Linked DNA regions of Callithrix jacchus. The protein of the gene in region 1 interacts with the protein of each later gene in a pairwise test. Links are inferred from orthologs where the notes say so. Each region holds a gene or a part of one and is shown on either strand. Other genes may lie near its edges. The genes, in order: THAP7, LZTS2, CCNDBP1, MTUS2 and LURAP1.

Evidence for each region.
Region 2: the proteins of THAP7 (region 1) and LZTS2 interact in binary tests that used the Homo sapiens proteins (3 or more experiments, as listed by UniProt). The two-hybrid records come from large-scale screens. The link is inferred for Callithrix jacchus from reciprocal best matches to the Homo sapiens genes THAP7 and LZTS2.
Region 3: the proteins of THAP7 (region 1) and CCNDBP1 interact in binary tests that used the Homo sapiens proteins (3 or more experiments, as listed by UniProt). The two-hybrid records come from large-scale screens. The link is inferred for Callithrix jacchus from reciprocal best matches to the Homo sapiens genes THAP7 and CCNDBP1.
Region 4: the proteins of THAP7 (region 1) and MTUS2 interact in binary tests that used the Homo sapiens proteins (3 or more experiments, as listed by UniProt). The two-hybrid records come from large-scale screens. The link is inferred for Callithrix jacchus from reciprocal best matches to the Homo sapiens genes THAP7 and MTUS2.
Region 5: the proteins of THAP7 (region 1) and LURAP1 interact in a two-hybrid assay, tested with the Homo sapiens proteins (2 studies listed by BioGRID and IntAct). The two-hybrid records come from large-scale screens. The link is inferred for Callithrix jacchus from reciprocal best matches to the Homo sapiens genes THAP7 and LURAP1.

The regions. Positions count from the first base shown.
Region 1 is NC_133502.1:193,118,803-193,122,710, reverse strand, and holds THAP7 (THAP domain-containing protein 7), read right to left. Parts: upstream 2,583-3,908; 5' UTR 2,574-2,582; coding exon 2,490-2,573; intron 2,349-2,489; coding exon 2,026-2,348; intron 1,521-2,025; coding exon 1,380-1,520; intron 1,170-1,379; coding exon 617-1,169; 3' UTR 505-616; downstream 1-504. UniProt on the Homo sapiens protein: Chromatin-associated, histone tail-binding protein that represses transcription via recruitment of HDAC3 and nuclear hormone receptor corepressors.
Region 2 is NC_133513.1:93,956,879-93,960,392, reverse strand, and holds part of LZTS2 (leucine zipper putative tumor suppressor 2), read right to left. Parts: intron 1,146-3,514; 5' UTR 1,104-1,145; coding exon 696-1,103; intron 139-695; coding exon 1-138. UniProt on the Homo sapiens protein: Negative regulator of katanin-mediated microtubule severing and release from the centrosome. Required for central spindle formation and the completion of cytokinesis.
Region 3 is NC_133509.1:30,928,584-30,932,097, reverse strand, and holds part of CCNDBP1 (cyclin-D1-binding protein 1), read right to left. Parts: intron 2,702-3,514; coding exon 2,620-2,701; intron 1,848-2,619; coding exon 1,751-1,847; intron 1,578-1,750; coding exon 1,504-1,577; intron 989-1,503; coding exon 912-988; intron 569-911; coding exon 288-568; intron 1-287. UniProt on the Homo sapiens protein: May negatively regulate cell cycle progression. May act at least in part via inhibition of the cyclin-D1/CDK4 complex, thereby preventing phosphorylation of RB1 and blocking E2F-dependent transcription.
Region 4 is NC_133506.1:148,703,546-148,707,059, reverse strand, and holds part of MTUS2 (microtubule-associated tumor suppressor candidate 2), read right to left. Parts: intron 2,285-3,514; coding exon 2,186-2,284; intron 1,150-2,185; coding exon 1,030-1,149; intron 1-1,029. UniProt on the Homo sapiens protein: Binds microtubules. Together with MAPRE1 may target the microtubule depolymerase KIF2C to the plus-end of microtubules. May regulate the dynamics of microtubules at their growing distal tip.
Region 5 is NC_133508.1:82,977,118-82,981,075, reverse strand, and holds the start of LURAP1 (leucine rich adaptor protein 1), read right to left. Parts: upstream 2,813-3,958; 5' UTR 2,719-2,812; coding exon 2,521-2,718; intron 1-2,520. UniProt on the Homo sapiens protein: Acts as an activator of the canonical NF-kappa-B pathway and drive the production of pro-inflammatory cytokines. Promotes the antigen (Ag)-presenting and priming function of dendritic cells via the canonical NF-kappa-B pathway.

The DNA.
Region 1 (3,908 bases):
AGCCACCGCGCCCGGCCCCGTTTTTCAAATAGAGACAGCAGTGAAGGGAGCAGCGAGGGGGTTGCCCTGTTTACCCACCAGGCAGATGAAGTCTGTGGACAAGCCTGTCATGCACCTGTTTGAGAACTGAATCCAGACTGGGTTTTAGGAGTGTTCTCAAAGGGGCTGGCTGACTTAAATTGGGGCTGTTTCAGATCCTGTGGAAGGGGTGCCTTGAACTGCTTTCCTGGCCCCTACTCACAACATCCTGCCCCCTACTCACAACATCCTGCCCCTTCAGAAAACTGTGGGGCATGGAGCTGCAATGGCTGGCTGCTACCGGTCTACCAGAAGCTCTGAGGGGTGAAAGCCAGGCTTTCTGCTCTCCCTGGCGAAGAGCTTGGACTGAGCTCTTCTGAGAGCAGAGCTGAGAGTGAGCCCTCTGGGAGCTGCAGCCACTGTCTGGGGGCAGCAAGCTTAGTACCCAGAGGGGCTCCAGCCCCCAGCTGAGCCAGACAGCAGGGCCTCCTTCTAGAATCCACTTTATTATGGCACCTGGTGGTTATGGTGGATTCTGAGGGAGAAGGAGGCTGCACCCTTGCTAGGCAGCCCCTCGGTCAGTCCAGTGGCCCCTCCCTCAGGCTATGCTGTTGCTCAGCTGCATGGCAAAGTCCTGTACATGCTCCTTCAGAGTCTGGCGGGCATCTGCCTGTGCCCGCTTCTCCCGTGCCCGCTCCTGCTGCAGCTTGGTCAGTCTCAGCCGCAGCCGCTGCTCCCGTCGCTTGCAGGCCTGCAGCTGGCGCTGGGCCTTGTCGAGGGCATCAAGAGCTGCCTCAGCTCGCCGCTTCCAGAGCAAGGCGCTGCCCACCTGGTAGCTGTGTTCATTCTGGATGTAGGCTCCGGCGGGTGGCGGCAGGCGCAGCATGTAGGCTGAGGGGGAGACTGGCCGTGGCTCGAGAGGGGAGGGCTGTGGCTCTGGTGAAGGCTGGGCACTGCAGCCTGCTTCATCTGCCTGGGCACCCAGGGGGCCCAGAAGGTCTGAAAAGGGGCTGCTAAGGCCAGGCTCCAGCCTCCCAGCTGGGGAGGCTGGCAAAGTGGCAGGTGCTGAGGCCTCTTCCACAGGAAAGCAGGTGACATCAGCAGGTGGAGGTGGAGAAAATGGAGTTGTGGGCCCTCGGCCCTCGGAGCAGCTGGTAAGGGGGAAGAGAGAGGCTGATGGGCTAGGCTGAGGGCCTGCCAGACCCCACTCCACCAGCCCACCTAACCCCCCAACACCCAAACCTGATCCACAGGTTCTGTGCAGCAAGAACCCTGTCCGGCTAGACTGCTGGCAGATGACCCAGAGCCCAGTCCCTTGGCCTAGGGGTGGGAGTGGGGCTTTCCCCACCAGTACCACATACCGCTTCCTGCATCGCCTGAGCCGGGTGACTTCAGTGGGACCAGATGGGTAACTGTGCCCCTTGGTCTTGGATGTCCGGCGCAACTTGGAGAAAGACTCGAATATGGTGGGGACTGCTCCCTCCTTTAGCCTGTGATACCCGCTGTGGGGAAAAGCAGCCCAGATGAGCTGGAGAGCAAGTGCTGCCTCCCCGAGCCAATGTACCCCCGGCACCCTGGAACAGCTTCCCCAGCACTAGCGCCGTGGGAGGCTGGAAAGCATCGTGCAAACAGTAAGTCTCAGGGATGCCAAGTTAGAGCTACACCAATCGCTTCCCTGCAGTACTCCTCAAAGTCGAGGTGTGTGGAAAGCCTGCACAAGCAGAGCTGGGCTGACCTGCCAAAAAGAATTCTTTGATTTGTGGACTCGCTGGCAGGACTGGGGCTCTGAAGAACACTCTCTGGAAAGGCTCATGTTTTTCCCTTGTGTCACTGGCAGTGATCCTGGGGGAGGGTTTCATTGTACAGAGCTCGGAAGAGGATACAGACCCCTTGGAAGCAGGTCGGCCTGCCTGGCAGGCTGCTCAAGGGACTTCCAGGACCTGCAGCTGCCCCAATCCGCCTGAAGCTCCACATCCTACCCCAATGTTGGCTGGCAGGGAGGCCCACCTGATTCCCACCAGCTCAAAGCAGTTCTCCTCAAAGTGTTTGGAGCAGAAGTAGATGTACTCGGATGCTGGGTCCCACAGGCCCTGGCCGCTGGGGTCCAGCCGCTGGCAGTTGGCCAGCCACAAGCCTCGCCTCGGGTTGTCCTTCTTGGGAAGTCTGTGGAGCCACAAACCCATGAGCAGTAGACTGTCCGCAGCCCTGGGCTCATGCTGCCCAAGCTCCCCGCTGGGGAAAAGCAGACCCAACACGCACCGCCACGAGACCTCCCTGCGACCCCGCCGGGTAAGCACCACCCGCCCGGGCACAGACGAAGCAATGGAGGCCTAGAGAAGAAAAGCAGTTTGCTCAGCGTCATCTGGCAGGTAAGAGTCAGAGCGGGGCAGGTCCGAGGCTAGACTTCCCGTTCTCCCCTTCCCGACAGCACTTGGTCCCACTGGGACCATCCCGCTTCACTTCCCACCCACAGGTTCAAGGTTCCTCAGGACCCGAGAAAGGCGCGAAGCGTCTACACAGTTGCGGCCCAACGAGGCGCGCAGCAACCAGCGCATGCGCACGTCAGCCCGCGCACGCGCGCCGACCTGTGGAAGGAGATGCCGCGGCTGCGCGTCTCGCGCGTGTCCCGTGTGCAGCAGCCGGCGGCGGAGCAGTGACGCGGCATCTAGGGAAGAGGCGGGAGTTAAGTCGCGAGTGGCTGTCTGGGGATCCAGAGGAGCCTCGCGCCTTCAGCCGCCGCTCCTCCCCAGGGGGGTTCTGGCCCGTGGAGTCTACCCCGGCTCCCGGCTTGTTCTCGCCCCACCCAGTCCCAGCCGGTTCTCTAGACTCCCGTCAGCAGCACTCACGATCTGTCCATTGCTGCGCCGCCGAAGTCTCGCGAGGGGTGGCGCGCGCCGGAAGTTGGTACCATAGAGACTGGAAAGTCGGCGGTGCTCCGCCCTTAGGGCGGGGCGGGGCGGGGCGAAGTCCTATTGAGTTGGATTCGGAAGCGGTGCGAGCGTGCGAGTTCTAGTCGCGCCTGCGTCGTCTCCGTTCCCAGACTACCAGTGTTGTCACACACGTGGGCTCCTCTTTCGTCCGTTCAGGGCTCACTCTTCTCTGTAAACACCCCGGCACGATGGAGCGACCCCAGTGTACGGGTCGGCCTGGGAGCGGATGGCGGCGGTGCCCTGGGAACCTCGAAAGCCGCGGGGGCGACAGCTCGCCTCGGAAAGACTTGACTGAAGAAAGAAAACGGGGCCTGGGACGCTTGCCCAAGAGAACCTGACAGAAACCAGAGCCTGCACTCACTGCCGAGTACCGGGGGACTTGAGGGAGGGCGAGGAATGCCCCAGACTACACTGGGGACGTGCGCTGGGCAGGAGGTTTCATTGTAGCCACTTTGGGGGCGTGACGGAGTCGGGAAGAAGCTGAGGATGCGGGTGGAAAGGTAGCGTCAGGAACTGCAGTGCTCAGCCTGCGGAGTCCTTGGACACATGATCCGGCGGGCTGCCTAACCTGAGCCCTCACCTCTTCCCCTAAGACTCAGTGAAAATAGCCACTCCATTTAAGGACTTCAGAAGGTTTAAATGTAAAATAATAGGCCAGGCGCTGTGCCTTACGCTTGTTAATCTCAGACTTTTGGGATGCTGAGGCAGGCGCATCACGAGGTCAGGAAATCGAGACCATCCTGGCCAACATGGTGAAACCCCGTCTCTGCTAAAAATACAATAATAATAATAATAATAGTAATAATTGGGTGTGGTGGCATGCGCCTGTAGTTCCAGCCACTCCGGAGGCTGAGGCAGGAGAATCGCTTGGACCCGGGAGGCAGAGTCTGCAGTGAGCCTAGATCACGTCACTGCACTCCAGCCTGGGCGACAGAGTGAGACTCCGTCTGAAAAGACAAA
Region 2 (3,514 bases), on another chromosome or scaffold:
CAGCTGCGTCAGGCTGCCCTGGCTCCCAGACAGCCCGGTGGCCCGAGGACCCATGAAGCTAGGCAGGGACGGAGCCCCTCGAGGTCTGGGCAGCACTGGCTTGAAGGCTGTTGGGCGGATCAGGATCTTCTCCATGTTCTGAAATGAGGTGCCATGTGACACTGGGGATAAGCTGCCCAATCTTGCAGAGCCCTTATGACACTCCCTGCCCTCCCATCTAGGGTCCCTAATGCCATATAGTCATAACAATTGCAGCCATGGGCGGAAAGCCTCCTGAGTGTCAGCTTTGTGTCAAGCAATTGAAAGGTTCATCCCCATTATCTAAATATTATCACTATCCCCATATCACAGATGAGGAAATGGAGGTTCAGCAAGGTGAAAGGCCTTGCCCAAAGTCAAATGTATAGCTGGTGCAGAATAACCAGAATGTAAGCAACTAGCACGTACTGCACACATGCTACATGCCAGGCACTATACTATACGTTATTTGACCTTCATTTCAGTTATAGAAACTGAGGCTCAGGTTAAGTGACTTCCCTGAGGTCACACAGCCAGAATGAGAGACAGCTGGGACTAGGACCCAGTCTGGTGACTCTGGAGCCCACACTCTTTCCTCGATATAGGCTTCTAAATTCCAGTTTCCCAAGGGGAGCTCCCGATGTTACCCAGGCACACAAGGAAAAGCCAGTCCTCACCTTTTCCAGCTTTCCAGAGACAGGGATGAGCTTTGGTGGTGGGCCACGGAGGTGGGCATTGCGTGCCCGCTGCTCCCGGGGATCCTCCACATCACTGCTTGGGCTGGGGGGTGACTCTGTCCGGAAGTCCTCGTTGACATAGGTGAAGCTGGTGACAGGGACAGCCTTCCTGGGGGGCACAGCTGGGCATAGCGGCTCCTGTGCCTCATAGCCACCCCGAAGCAGGCCATCCTGCTGGCGGAAGAAGGTGGGCCCAGGAGGGCCATGGTGGCGGGGAGGAGCTGGTCCCCCAGGGCAGGGCCGGCCTGAGATTAGGCTGCTCACACTGCCCATGGCTGGTGCTTGTGGGGCAGTGGCAGCTTCAGGAGCAGGTTCCAGTGGCACTGGCAGAGTCTGCACGATGGCCATGGTGGCAGAGGCTCAGGCCTGGCCAGCGGCCTCGCAGGTGACCTGTAAGCAGGGCAGTGGTGTCAGAGTCCCTCTACCTTGAGACCCCTCCTGACCCAGTAACAAGCCCAAGTAACTGATGCCTCCTTGACATCAGTAACAAGCCCTGATCCCCACCGAGACTCCCCCTTCAAGTGCTGGCATGAACCTCAATTCCCCCTGGGCCCCAGACCACAGTGCCCAATGTAGGTCTAAACAGGGCTAAGGATTGAGTTCACTCAGCAGAGATGCTGAGGTAATGACCACAAGGCCACTTGGCAGCAAAGACCCAGGCCCAAGCCCAATCCTGCATCCTCCCCAGAGGCCAGGACTCAGGTGAGGGAGGGGCCCTCTCTAGCAGCTCCCAGCACAGGTCTCTGGCCCTCTGAGCCAGGTGGCCTCATTACAGGGTAGTCTGGGCAGAGGCACCTCAAGGTTGCAATCAGCACCTGAGATGGTAATTAGGGAATAAAGAGCCAAGGCCAGGCAGTGCCCTGCCTCCCCCTGCTGGGCCTCAGTTTCTCCCAGAGAGGCGGCTAAACTGCCTCTCTGTGGATCTGGCTAAATAAGAAACCCATGGCTCTTAGGGAGTCCACAGGTGTCCTTCAGGGTCTCCTGCCTCCCAGAGGTGGATGCAGGCTCATACCAGTTTCCATGACAACTCCTAGCCTCTGCACATCCAATCAGGCCTAAAGGAGCCTCCACAGGCTCTGCCCCACTACCAACCTCTGTGAAACCCTACGGCTTTAGAAGGTCCCCAGAGAAACCCTGAGGGGAGGAAGGTAGATGCCCCGCCTTCACCTTTGTCGGCTGCTCCAAAGCCTCACTTCCAGGGAGCCCAGGCAAGAGGGCTCCACCTCCCCAGGCCCTGCTCCTTCCAGGAAGCAGATGTGAGCCTCCACCCGGAACCCCCTCCCTACTCCCAGTCCTGAGGCCACTGATGACCAGGACTTAGGCATCTGCTGAAGTCATCATGCAGAGCGGGGCCAAGAAGTGGACAGAGAATTGCACTGGGAGTAGGAGTGTGTGCATTTAGTTATTTGTTGTGTGACTACATGCACAGGAGCATGGAAATGAACACCATGTGTATATACGAAAATGTGTGTGAAAATATGAATGTGAGTCTATGCATGTTTGATGTTATCAGCACATTCACACACGAGTTCCCGTGTGAATTCACATGTGTATATCTTACAAAAGTACATGGGTAAGGGGTCATTCTTAGAAAGCCTGTGAAAGTTATAAATGTGAATTTGTGGTGTGTGGATGAGACGGTGCCTGGACAGATGCGTCAGCATATGAGTTTATGTGTGAGCTCCTAAGTGTTTGAGTGTGTGACTAGAAAGGTGAGTGCACCAGGGTGTGCAGGTGAGCCTGTAAATGTGGGCAGGTAGGTACCAGAGTGGTGGGAGCCTGGGTGGCTTGAGGACCAGCTGGTGAAGGGAGCCTCTTTCCTTCCCCCTCTGGCATGTGGGGAGAGGTGGGACATTAACTCCTTTGCCTGATCTGTTCCCCTTCTTTCTCGTATGCGCTCCATTAAATCCACTGCCCTCCTTCCCACCCAAGTCAAAAGACACTGCGAACCAGGAAGAGGTGTTCAGGCTGGGGCCAGAGCTGTGGGGAGCTGGGGGAGGGGTGAGCCAGGCCCAGGGAGCAATCACAGGCCTCTATGCAGGGCTGCAGCTCAGACCACCCCACCGGTCTCAGCCCCGAGCAGAGCAGATAGAGAACCCCTTCCCCTCCCCTCCCGTCTCTGGGTCCACTCCAGGGTATGGAAAGAACAGTGGGGAAGGGACTTAGGGGGCCCAGGGGGCTGGCACCTCTGCTGTATTTCCCCACTTCATCGAGCAGGGAGAAAGTGAAAACTGAAGGAAGGAGACAGACTCAGAGAAAGACAGGAACCCAAAAGAGACAAAGACTCGGAGAGGCCCGAGGGTCAGGCTGACAAGGAGAAAGCCAGGCAGACCCAGTGAGCCAGGGCCCCCCAACCCCATGGAGCCGAGGGCCCCTAAGTCCAAAGTGCCACAGAGCTGGGCCCTGAGAGCCACACACCCAGGGAGCCAGAGCCAGGAGTCTGGAAAGCCAGGCCCAGCCGGCCCGGCTCCCGCTCTTGGAGCCCGAGAGAGAAGGAGGGGCAAGTGGCGGCTCCATTTTGAGAAATGCGTTTGTGGCTGTGGGAGATGGGAACCCCTCATTCTCCTCAGCACTCCCTAAGCAATCACTCTGACCCAGGAGCATCCCCCTTTTAGCGGGCTGTGGGGAGCGGAGGGCTGGAGCTCGTCCAGGGCCGGCGAGGGGTCTGAAGAGTTGGGCAAAGTCTCCCTCCCACCCAAACTCCAAGAACCAGTCAAGCGGGGTCAAGTCTGCGATCACGAGTTCCCGCTCCGCGGCGG
Region 3 (3,514 bases), on another chromosome or scaffold:
GTATTTATGAGTGAATGTCATTGCTTTCTGCAATTTACTCTCAAAACATTCTGGAATAAACATGAAACATCTATCTTTTGAGAAATAAACCAATATAGGAAAAAATGTGAACAACAGGCAAATCTAATAGAAGGATGTAGGGGTGTTCACTGAAGTACTTTTTAAACTTTCCTATATGTTTGAAAACTTTCAAAATATAAATAAACTGGGAAGAATCCTTGGGGTGACAGCACAAAATGAGATCAGAATGCTGCTGCTCAGATGTTTCAAGTGGGGCTCACACTCACCTAGGGCTGATTTCATCAGAAATATCCACAATGTCATCCAGCTGTGCAACCTGATCCTTCTTCCCATTCTCTGCCACTAAGATCCGGATTTTCTTCAGGCAGGCTTTGGATGCTCTCACCAGTGCAAGGCATGGGATTATGAGTTCTTGATCATCCTCTGACCAATACAAGTCCTGATTGCTTGGAAACCCCAACACATCATCCTCATCATTGTGGTTGTCGGAGTTGTTCTCCTCAGTATCATTCAAGAGGCCAGAGTAAGGGTCGCATTCTTCCACAGCCTAAGACATACCATGATGTACATGCAAAAAAAGAAAAAGAATAAAAAAGGGGCCTATTATACTTTTAGCACCATGCCTTAGTTGTCCAAAAACCTTAGCCAGCCACTTCACTAATGGCTACAGAGTTGAATTACTTCACAAACCCTGTTTTCGCTCTCCTTGTCCAGTAAGGGAACAGAGAGGAGTGGTACTAAATCACACACTAACAAGGAGGGACAGATGGAAGACAGAGGACAGTAGTGAGAATAAGATCTATCTGGTCAATGCTTAGGGAATCTCTCTTTATAATCAACTATCATCTACTAGTCAAAGAGTTGCCTTCCAACGATGAAGTTCCCCTGACCCGCTCCATTTCTTCATATGCATCCTTCACAAAGTCCACATTCTTGGTCAGCATCAAAAGAGCTGCAGCTTTGTTATCTATGAGTGAAAGATCAGAGGCACTACAATTAGATGAGAAACCCAACAATTTTCTTAAAACTGCAAAGGACAACCACACTGTTCCTAATGAAGGCGGTGCCAAGGATGGTTGACAAGGGTGGTGGTTTAATCTAAAATTCTTCTCACTACATCCCCTGGTATCTAAACAGGAGTTTAAAAAGCTTGTATTTTATTTACCACAAGAAGAAATGATATGGTCACATGATGTTTAACATCATGGTCCTCTTGGACAACCACTGTTTTGGCCTAGCTGGCTCTACCTCAGAACTGCTTCAGTGTGTTCCGTAATACTACTCTTGGGGTAGGACTACGAAAACAAACTGTATTTGTTCAACCTAAAGAATGACAGAAGTATTAATACCTATCACTTTTGGTAATATAATATATATATTTCACTAGACTGTTTATATAAATTCAAATATACATGTTATAAAGCAGGAAGAGGTCTCTCTGCTTTGGCCAGCAGACATGGCCCACTTCCCATTTTCACTCACCTCTTGGTATCTTAGGCATCTGCTGGCATGCAACCCAGACACTGTTGTAGGAAATAAGGTCATTGTTCTCAGGGCTGGGGAAAGAAATCAGTATGGATATATCAATAACCTAGGTTCCTGTCTCGTAAAAAGCTCCTTCCTGCTGGTCATTACTCTCAGCTGTCAATAACTTTGCTGTTAAAATGAGCTTTTCCCCTCTCAGGCAATGAACCCCAATAAATGATAACCTAAACTGTGGCATCACTACCTCTGAGTTGGAGTGATGGAAAGTACTTCCATGAGCTGAGCCATGCCATCCACGATGTCCAGGGTGGCGCCCCGGATCAGCTTTCTCAGAGTGATTCCTGTGGCCAAACCCAAAGAATAAGCAGTCTGGTGTTCTTTTCAGAAGCAGCATCTGCTTTCCCAAGTCTAAGTATTACAGAATATAAGATAATGTACATCCACATGCTTTAACCTACATGCTAACACAAAACTCAGGTCTTACTTACATCCCCATGACATTTTCTTGCCCCTCCTGCCATTTCTTAGTGTTTTCTTCAAAAGAGATTTGGAACAAAATCTTTCCATGACACCATGTATTCATTCATTAAAGACCATGACCTCTTAACAACTGTAGATGAAACACTTGAAGTTTAAACCACTTGAGTAGTAACCCTGAAGATCCATGACATGTATTCAGTTATAATTTTGGCATGATTATAATCAACGCATGATTCTACAGGCAGGGCTGGAGGCCATTTAACCTATGAAGATGTTCCAAAATAGGGTGAGATATAACATGGGTGGAGGAGAGTAAGGATGACCTGAGCCTTCATATGGGGCTGAGAGCCAGCCAGTATCTGTGGTGTTAAAAATGGGTTTGAGAGGGAGGAGCCTGTGAGAATTAAAAGCCGTAAGAGTCATTCAAGGCAGGGGAGATGGGAAGTAATAGAACAAAGCATCTGTATCTTAGAATAATGGCTTGTTTATAGAAGTTATTTACATTATAAAATTATCTTTGTATTTTATGGGAGAAAGTTACATGTTCAAGTTGAGTAAAGGTAAAAATCACAAGACATAATCCACAATATCAGCAAAGATCTACACTATAAATGCAACACTTATATGGCTTACCCTGATCCTTTGGAAATAAATAATATACTGCAATAAATGCCTTGATGGCAGCATGGACTTGTTCACAGAACTTCTGGGTTTCCTATGAAAAAGGAAACAGATTAGATCATAATCCTTCTACTGTGGAATAGAGCAAATATTTTTCTTCTTCTTCTTTTTTTTTTTTTTTGAGACAGAGTCTTGCTCTGTCAACCAGGCTGGAGTGCAATGGCACAGCCTTGGCTCACTGCAACCTCCACCTCCCAGGTTCAAGCAATTCTCCTGCCTCAGCCTCCCAAGTAGCTGGGATTACAGGCACCTGCCACCACACCTGGCTAATTTTTGTATTTTTAGTAGAGATAGGGTCTTGCCATGTTGGCCATGCTGGTCTTGAACTCCTGACATTGGGGGATCCACCTGCCTTGGCCTCTCAAAGTATTGGGATTACAGGCATAAGCCAACATGTCCAGACTAGAATAGATATTTCTACAGCATTATCAAACATTTTCTGAAGTCCTGGTATGAAGTTAGGCCTTCTGCTATACTGATCACATACCAAAGAGGAGTTAGCTATATAGTATACACTGGGCTGACAACTCGATAAACCATTACGAAACAGCAGGAAAAACTTATTCCTGATACTCTGTGTCCAAAGATATTCATGATATCTTAGACCAGCAGTTGGCAAACTGTGGTCCACAGGCCAACTCAGGCCCCACTGCCTGTTTTTGTAAATAAAGTGTATTGGGACACAGCCATGCTCATTAGTTTAAATGTCTGTAGTTGTGTTTGCTCTACAAGGGCAGAGTTGGGTAGCTGGTTACAAAGTCTAAAGTATTTACTAACTGGTCCTTTACAGAAAAGAGAGAGAGAGAGACAGAACAACTGATGGACCAGCCTCTATATTAGTCCATTA
Region 4 (3,514 bases), on another chromosome or scaffold:
AATATGATGTTATAATCTGCTTTTCTTCGGTTTATCTTATTTCATAGTTTCCCAAAGTACATATATTATTTTTGGTAGTATCAAAAGTGTATTTTTAAAGTAATAATAATAAAGGGAAAAAATAAGAATCTGAGATCCTGGGGCCAACTTCCAGATCAAGATGGGCTGCCCTTGGAAGGAGGCTTCCCTGCCACTCCCTTTGCACACCTTTCTGGGACTCTAGCCCTGGCCAGGGAGGGTGGGGGTGATGGGGGGGTGGGGTGGATGCTTGTGCCCCAGCGTAGGGGGTGAAATCCTGCGTGTTCTGTGTCCCCTAGGGGGTGACTTTTGCCAGCTCTGCAGGAGCCAGGCTGGTGGGCTGAGCTGGGTGAGTGTCAGTGAGAGCAGGGACGCTGTTCTGGGCTGAATGTTTGTGTCCCCCAAAATTCCTGTGCTGAAACCTAACCCCCAAGGAGGCGGAGCTTTGGGGAGGGGATCAGATCCAGAAGGTGAGCCCCTGTGAATGGGATTAATACCCTTATAAAAAGGGCCCCAGGAAGATCCCTGGCCCCTTCTGCCTTGTGGGGACTCGAAGCACTGGGCAGGGGCTCCTTAGCACCATCTCCGGCATCTGTAAAGCGGCTCATGGCAGCAGCTGCTCCACAGGCAGCTGTCGGAGTTAGGAGCAGGCTCACTCAGGGAAAGTGCTCTGTGCAGTGCCTGGGCACTGGAGATGCTGTATCCTGCTGGGTCACCACATGTCCCCAAGACAGGGTGTAGAGACAGTGCAATTGCCAGAAAACCAGGGTGAAGCAGAAAGAGGCCGCCTGTCAGGAAGGTTTCAGAGTTGGACAAGGTGAGGCCACCTCTAAGATTTCTTATCAGAGCTCCTGGCTTCCCAGGAAAGGCCAGCCATGGGATTTTCTGCTTAGGTATAAGCAATGGGCAGGTAAGGGACACACCTGGCCGAACACCATCAGCAATGACATCAGGAACGACAGGAGGAGCGTCATGGAGGTTAGTCACTCCCATGCAAACAGACCAACTCACCAGCTTTTCCAGCTCAAGAATCTTCTTTTCCTGCTCGTGTATTTGCTGATTCTTCATCTCTAATACCTGCTTCAGACTCTTCATGTCTTCTTCCAAGTGCTGATAAGGAGCCAGTGCAATCTACAGGGGCAGAGAGCCATAAAATGTTGACCGGGGCTCCCGGCAAAACCCAGTATTAACCAATATCACTAATCCAGCTAAATCCAGCCTCTGGACCAACGCCCCAATAGCAATTGCACAGCAAAGACAGAGGATGCTCGCAGTCTTCCCTGATGAAGGGGTCCTGCTGCTTCCCCCTGGGAACCCATTCTGTGCGGGAGCAGGTGACACACAGCCATCGTCCACTGGGAAGTTTGATTCCGGAAATGCTGGATGCTGCCAGCCCATGCCCAGCAGGGAACTCATGGGTCGAAAGAGTAAACCCAACACTAGCCTTTAACATTCACCTGGATGACTGGTAGCTGGGGCTCTTCTGGGTCCCACCTATACCCATAAAGAGCCCATGCACAGGAAATGAGCAGAGTGGCTTAAGAAGCAGAAAAGCCATTTTGGAAAAAGACACATTACAGTAGTGCTGCTGGATATAGCAAATTAAAACATGGTATGTCCTGTTAAATTCAAATTTCAGATAAAGCACGTTTTAAAAAAGTGAGCACAAGTATTGCTTGGGACATACTTAGACTCAAAAATTTATTTACCTGTAATTCAAATTTAACTGCGTGTCTTGTATCTTATTTGGCAACCCTACGTTAGAGAGAAGGAGTTTTGCCAGATTTCCTGAAAAAAATTCCCCTCAACCTATTAACTCCTGCTGTAGCCAAGGCTGCCCGTGTCAGCCTAAAAAGCTGGGGGAGAATGAGATGGAAGGGGTGGTCGGGCAAGGGTCGGGGGTTGCCGGACCATGCTGATCACAGGGGCCCCGGAACCTCGGCTGGGCAATGCTGTGGAATTTGGCAAAAATAACACGTAGCTGGAGAAATCCACAGCTGCTGTCTGACTCTGGGGAGATGTGCTGACAGAAATTGTTTACAAATCCAGGGGAGGTCGTGACCAGCTGTCACTTCAGCAAGGGATTCACAGAGAGGCCTTGTCTTGGGACAAGACTGCTGAGGGAGTCCCGTGGCCTGGGGCTGGAAGCCTGGAATCCCGAAACTACCTCCAGCTGCTCCTCCGTGCTCTTCCTCAAGGCCTCTTCGAAGCGGCGTGCTCTGTCCCGCAGAGACTGGCTCTGGAAGGTCAGCGTGTCCACCTGGTCCTGGAGTAATGACATGAGGAGTCCAGCTGGGGGCGCTACAGCCTGCCGCTGCCACAGCTGGGGCAGCTTCAATCAGCAGGCCACCACTTTCTTCAGCATCCTTAGAGTGTCTCCCTTGGGACTGAAGAAAGAGGTGCCCAAGGGGACCCCCAAAATCACATGATGGGCATGGTTTCCCCCAACGCCTACCCGTGGCTTGCCCTTCTTGGCTCTTTGTCAGGAAGAAACCACAAAAACACTGTGAACCGGGGGGCATCTCACAACATCTGATCCTATAGAAGCAGACAATCCTCAGGGAGAGGCGTCTGGGCCAGGAGGCACCCAGCCCTGGCTTTGGGAAGGACCACAGTGAAGGTACTTCAAAGAATCATTCTCATTTATGAAGCTCAATCCAGAACCCTTCCAACCCTCCTTCACTTCTTTCTCTGCCTTGGGATCCCTCTCACATCACCAAACCTTCTGGCCACCGAGCCCTGCTATCCTGCCTCCTGAATGTCCCTAGAAGCCACAGACTCCCCTGAGCTCAGCCACTCGGCTGGCTCCATCCTGACACGATTCTTCTTTCTCCTGAAGTATCACTCCTTTACCCTCACGCTGCAGTCAAGCCCTCTTTCTAATGTGCAAAGCGGAACCTGTCCTTCCCCGACCTCCTACCCCACTGCCCTCAAGGTGCCGTGTACACTCCCTAACGCAGCACCCTCCCGCCTCGCTGCCTCCCTCTCCTCTCACGCCAGCTCTCCTGCTGGCAGTGCCCTCCTCCAGCCAGCTGCCTCTCACTCCTGCTTCATTCTGGCTCCCACGCAGCCTTCCTGGCCTGACAGCTGGGTTTCATGTCCCTGATAGGAGCTCACATGGAAGCTGAGTCCACACAGTCTCCTCCTCCCTGCTGAGACCCGCTCCCTGGCCAGACTGGCACTCCCAGCCCTCTGCCTTCCCATGCCCGTCAGCTAGGGGGGCAGCTGGCGGCTCTCCACCTGCAGGTTGAAGGAAAGCAGGAGTGTCTATGGGGACACCATGCCCCTTCCCCAGCTCCCAGGGCAGATGCACCTGCGCTGACTCTGTCCCACTCAGCCTGCCCATGACTCCCCACACCACAGGCTGGCAAAGGACCACTGATGCCCAAGAAGCGCTTCACCCTTCGTGTCTCACTCATGCAGACCAGTCCAAAGCTCTGTTACAGCACCATTTCTGTAACATCAAAACACGGAAACTAGGGTGTCCCGTGAATTC
Region 5 (3,958 bases), on another chromosome or scaffold:
TTCTTTGGGTGGGAGAACTAAGAAAAGTTGCTACTGTTTCCCATTCCCACATATCCCAGTCTGGCTTGTTCACTTAACCTCTGAATGGGGGGTAGAGGAAGAAAGCAGGAGAGAACAGGCCTAGTGGCAGGACTGACCTTGGCCTCAAGGGTAGGCCTTCAGCCTCGCCTCTGTGCAAGGAGAGCTGGGAGAGGAACAATTGAAGGACAGCCTTAGAGGACTTGAACCAGGCCTGCCTTCAGTGGCTCCAAAGAAAATCCTCTGCCCCACCCCTTGTCCTTCCTGGGTGCAACCCAGTAGGCAGGGCAGAGCACAGAAGGAGATTAATATTAATAACATCCTGGCCTGAGGAGGGAGAAGAAATAGGGTGGGGATCTCTCCTTGTTCTGGCCCCAGAAGGCTCCCTGCCTTGTATCCTTCCTCGGGCAGCCTCAGGCCCCAGGCAAGCTGGGTCAAGAATACAGAGACAAAATCAGAAGTTAAATGCAGCCCCTTAAAGTTTACAGATAGTTTCCACCAAGGCAGAAAAGAGTTAGAGCCAGAGAGACTAGGCGTGGCTCTTCCAGTGACTCCCTATGTGAGTTCAAACAAACCCCCAAAATCTGCAAGAATGTTTCATCTGCAAGATGGGAGAAATGATGGCCAGTTTTCTCATTTCCATGACATAAAATGTCTTTAGAATATCTGGCACAAAGTAGGTCTCAAAGATAAAGATGTAAAGTGCAGTCTGCAGATCTGGGTTCAAATCCTGGCCCTGCTTTTTACATGATTGTGGGTAGTCATTTAAATTCGCTGTCCCTCTACTTTTTCTTTTCTCTTCTTTTTTCTTCCCTTCCGTCCTCTCTTCCTTCCCTCCTTCCTTTTCTTTTTTTGAGACAGGATCTAGCTCTGAGCTCTGTCACCCAGGCCAGAATGCAGTGGTGCGACTTCAACTCACTGCAACCTCCTCCTCCTTCTGGGCTCAAGCAATCCTCCTGCCTCTGCCTCCAGAGTAGCTGGGACTATAGGCATGCACCACAATGCCCATCTAATTTTTGTATTTTTTATAGATACAGGGCCTCACTTTGTTGCCCAGGCTGGTCTCAAACTCCTAGGCTCAAGCAATCTGCCTGCCTCAGTCTCCCAATATGCTGGGATTACAGGCGTGAGCCACCATGCCCACCCCGTGCCTCAGTTTCTTCATCTATAAAATATCACTTACTTAACAGGGTTACTGTGGAGATGAAGAGAGTATCATGTAAAGTGCTCAGCAATCTGCCTGGCACATGTGCTGGGTGAAAGTTAGTTTTCAAAACAACTAGACAGTCTAGATAGGGCCTTGAGCTAAAGTTTGTACAATGAGGCAAAGCCAAGCCCACTCTCCCCGCTTAGGTGAGTACAGTCACAGCCTTGCTCTGGAGAATTTGGCACTCACCTCCAACCTTCAAGGCCAAGTGCACACTTGGCATTCATGTCCTTCTCCCAGGGGGCCTTCCCTGACTGCTCCACCCACCAGACTCTCCTCCCAGCCTCTCAGCTCAGGCATCAGAGCCCTTGCTGGTCTCAGAACCTCCATGACTTCCTTCTCCTGATGCTTCACAGACCAGCTTGGCACAGGCTGGGCACACAGTGGGGGCTCCAGTAAGACTTATTAGCTGAGGAACTTCACCGTGGGCTCCTGGCTGTGAGCCAGGGAGCCAATGGCAATTCCTCAGTTCCCCAGAGCTGGATGCAAAGTAGTGGCAGGTATAAATCACCTACTTCATGGGAATCAGGGCTCTGGGGAGCCTGCCAGGGCCCCAGCTGCCCTTTTGGCTTTGAATCTAGACCAGCAGAAACAGAGAGAGTGGAGGGTTGTTGTTTCCTCTTCTCCCTAAGAATGTACAGATGAGATCCAAATATCCAGTTTACCTGGGAGATTGGCTGGGAGGAGACTGAGTCTGAGGTGAGGGAATCGGCACCAATGGTGCTGCTACTCTCTGTCCCTGCTATAGGTTTAAGAACTTTCCATTATTTTAAGTAGGGCTGGGAGATGCAGGGGAAACGGAGGAGGTTTTCAATGCTCCTAGTCCAGGTAGTTTTCAGCAGATATACCCCTTAACCCTGTGCTGAACACTGCGGTCTCACAGAAACTAAACCCTTTCCCGGTTAGCAGGAGAAAAAACTGGTTGCCTTACAACGGGGACTGGCGGGGAAAAGGTGGCCCAGACGGGCGGGGGGAATTTGTGCTGCGTTGGGTTCTCGGTATTTCCGTCCTCATCTCTCTCCTCCCAATTATTTGGCAGGAATAACTTCCAAGAACCATTGTCTCCCACCCCAAGTCCTCAGGACCCATCAACACCCCACTCACTCTTGGGGGACAATTAATGGACGTCACTCCACCTCCACCCCAGCGCTTACTGATTGATCTGGGAGGGATTCTGAGCAGTTAGATGGAGAGTTTTAACTACCTCCTCTCCAGCCTAACTTGGGAGCGTGAGTTTGTCCCTCCCGGCCCTACACTGGGGACTCGTCCCCTTGGTCCATGGAGTCTGCACTCACCAACTCCATCTTCAGCGCCATGATCTTGTCCCCCAAGCCGTGGCCGGTGCTAGGCGCCCCTGGGAGCAGCAGGGCGCCAGAGGTTCCCGGCTCACACTCGCCTCGCAGCCCGCGGAGCAGCCCTTCAGGGGTCTTCCTGCCCACCTTACCCTCCACATCCCGCAGATCAGGCGTCTGGAACTCCACGGTACCCTCCATGCGGGCCCAAGCCTGAAAAGGGCCGGACGACCTGACGCCCGGGACCAGCTCCCGGTGGTCCTCCCTTCGCCGAAGCTAATGCGGAGCAGAAACCGTGGGTCCCCGCCCGCACGGTGCGGGGGTGGGAGGAGGGCGCCGTAACACTCAGAAAAGCCGCGCAGCACCGCCTGTAGATATATATTCGAGTGCTGCGCACAACCTCTGGCCCCGGATTGCGTGGGGCTGGGCGATTCTGGATTTGAACCTGAAAGAGCACTCGGAGACCTCAGCGCCTTCACCCCATCCTGGCACTGAATCCAGCCAGGCACACAGCAGGCGCCCAATACATGTTTGCAGAATGAAGCCTAAGCAGCTTCAGTCAGTCAGAGATGTGGGAGTTTAAGGAACAGTGGTAACAGAGAGCTGCAGAGGGCTTGGAAGTCTTCCTGGAGCAGAGGAACTAGCTCTAAAACGGCAGCTGGATTTTAGCTAGACACACACACACCGCAGGGGCTAGAATTCAGACTAACGGAGTAGAAAGGGGCAACCACTATCGAAGCTGAAGAGGTCCACATTGGGCTTATAAGCAAGATGCTCCTTAAGCTTGACTGCATATGAATTATCTGCGGATCTTGTTAAAATAAAGATTCTGATTTTGTAAATTTGGGGTGGTGGCTGAGAGCCTGCATTTTTTTCTTTTCTTTTTTTTCTGAGAGGAGTCTGGCTCCGTCACTCAGGCTGGAGTACAGTGGCGTGATCTCGGCTCACTGCAACTTCTGCCTCCCTGAATTCAAGCGATTCTCCTGCCTCTGCCTCCCAGGTAGCTGGCATTACAGGCATGCAACCGCACCTGACTAATTTTTTTGTATTTTTAGTAGAGACAGGGTTTCACCATGTTGGCCAGGCTGGTCTTGAACTCCTGGCCTCAAATGATCCACCTGCCTCAGACTCCCAAAATGCTGGGATTACAGATGTAAGCCACTGCACCTGGCTAAGATCCTGCATTTCTAATAAGCTCTCAGGTGATGGCCATGCTGCTGGTCCACACTTCAAGTAATAAGGGACCACACTTTGAGTAACAAGGTTACAGAAGATGGTTCTGAGATGTTTGGATTTTATTTAACAGGCAGTGAACAGCCATGAAAACTTTGGTTTGTTTGGTCTTTTAATTCAAGAAATTCCAGTCCATGGTTGCAGAAGGATTTACAATGAGAAGATAGTTACTCCTGCTCTATCTACCCTTTCATACCTCTAGGCCCAC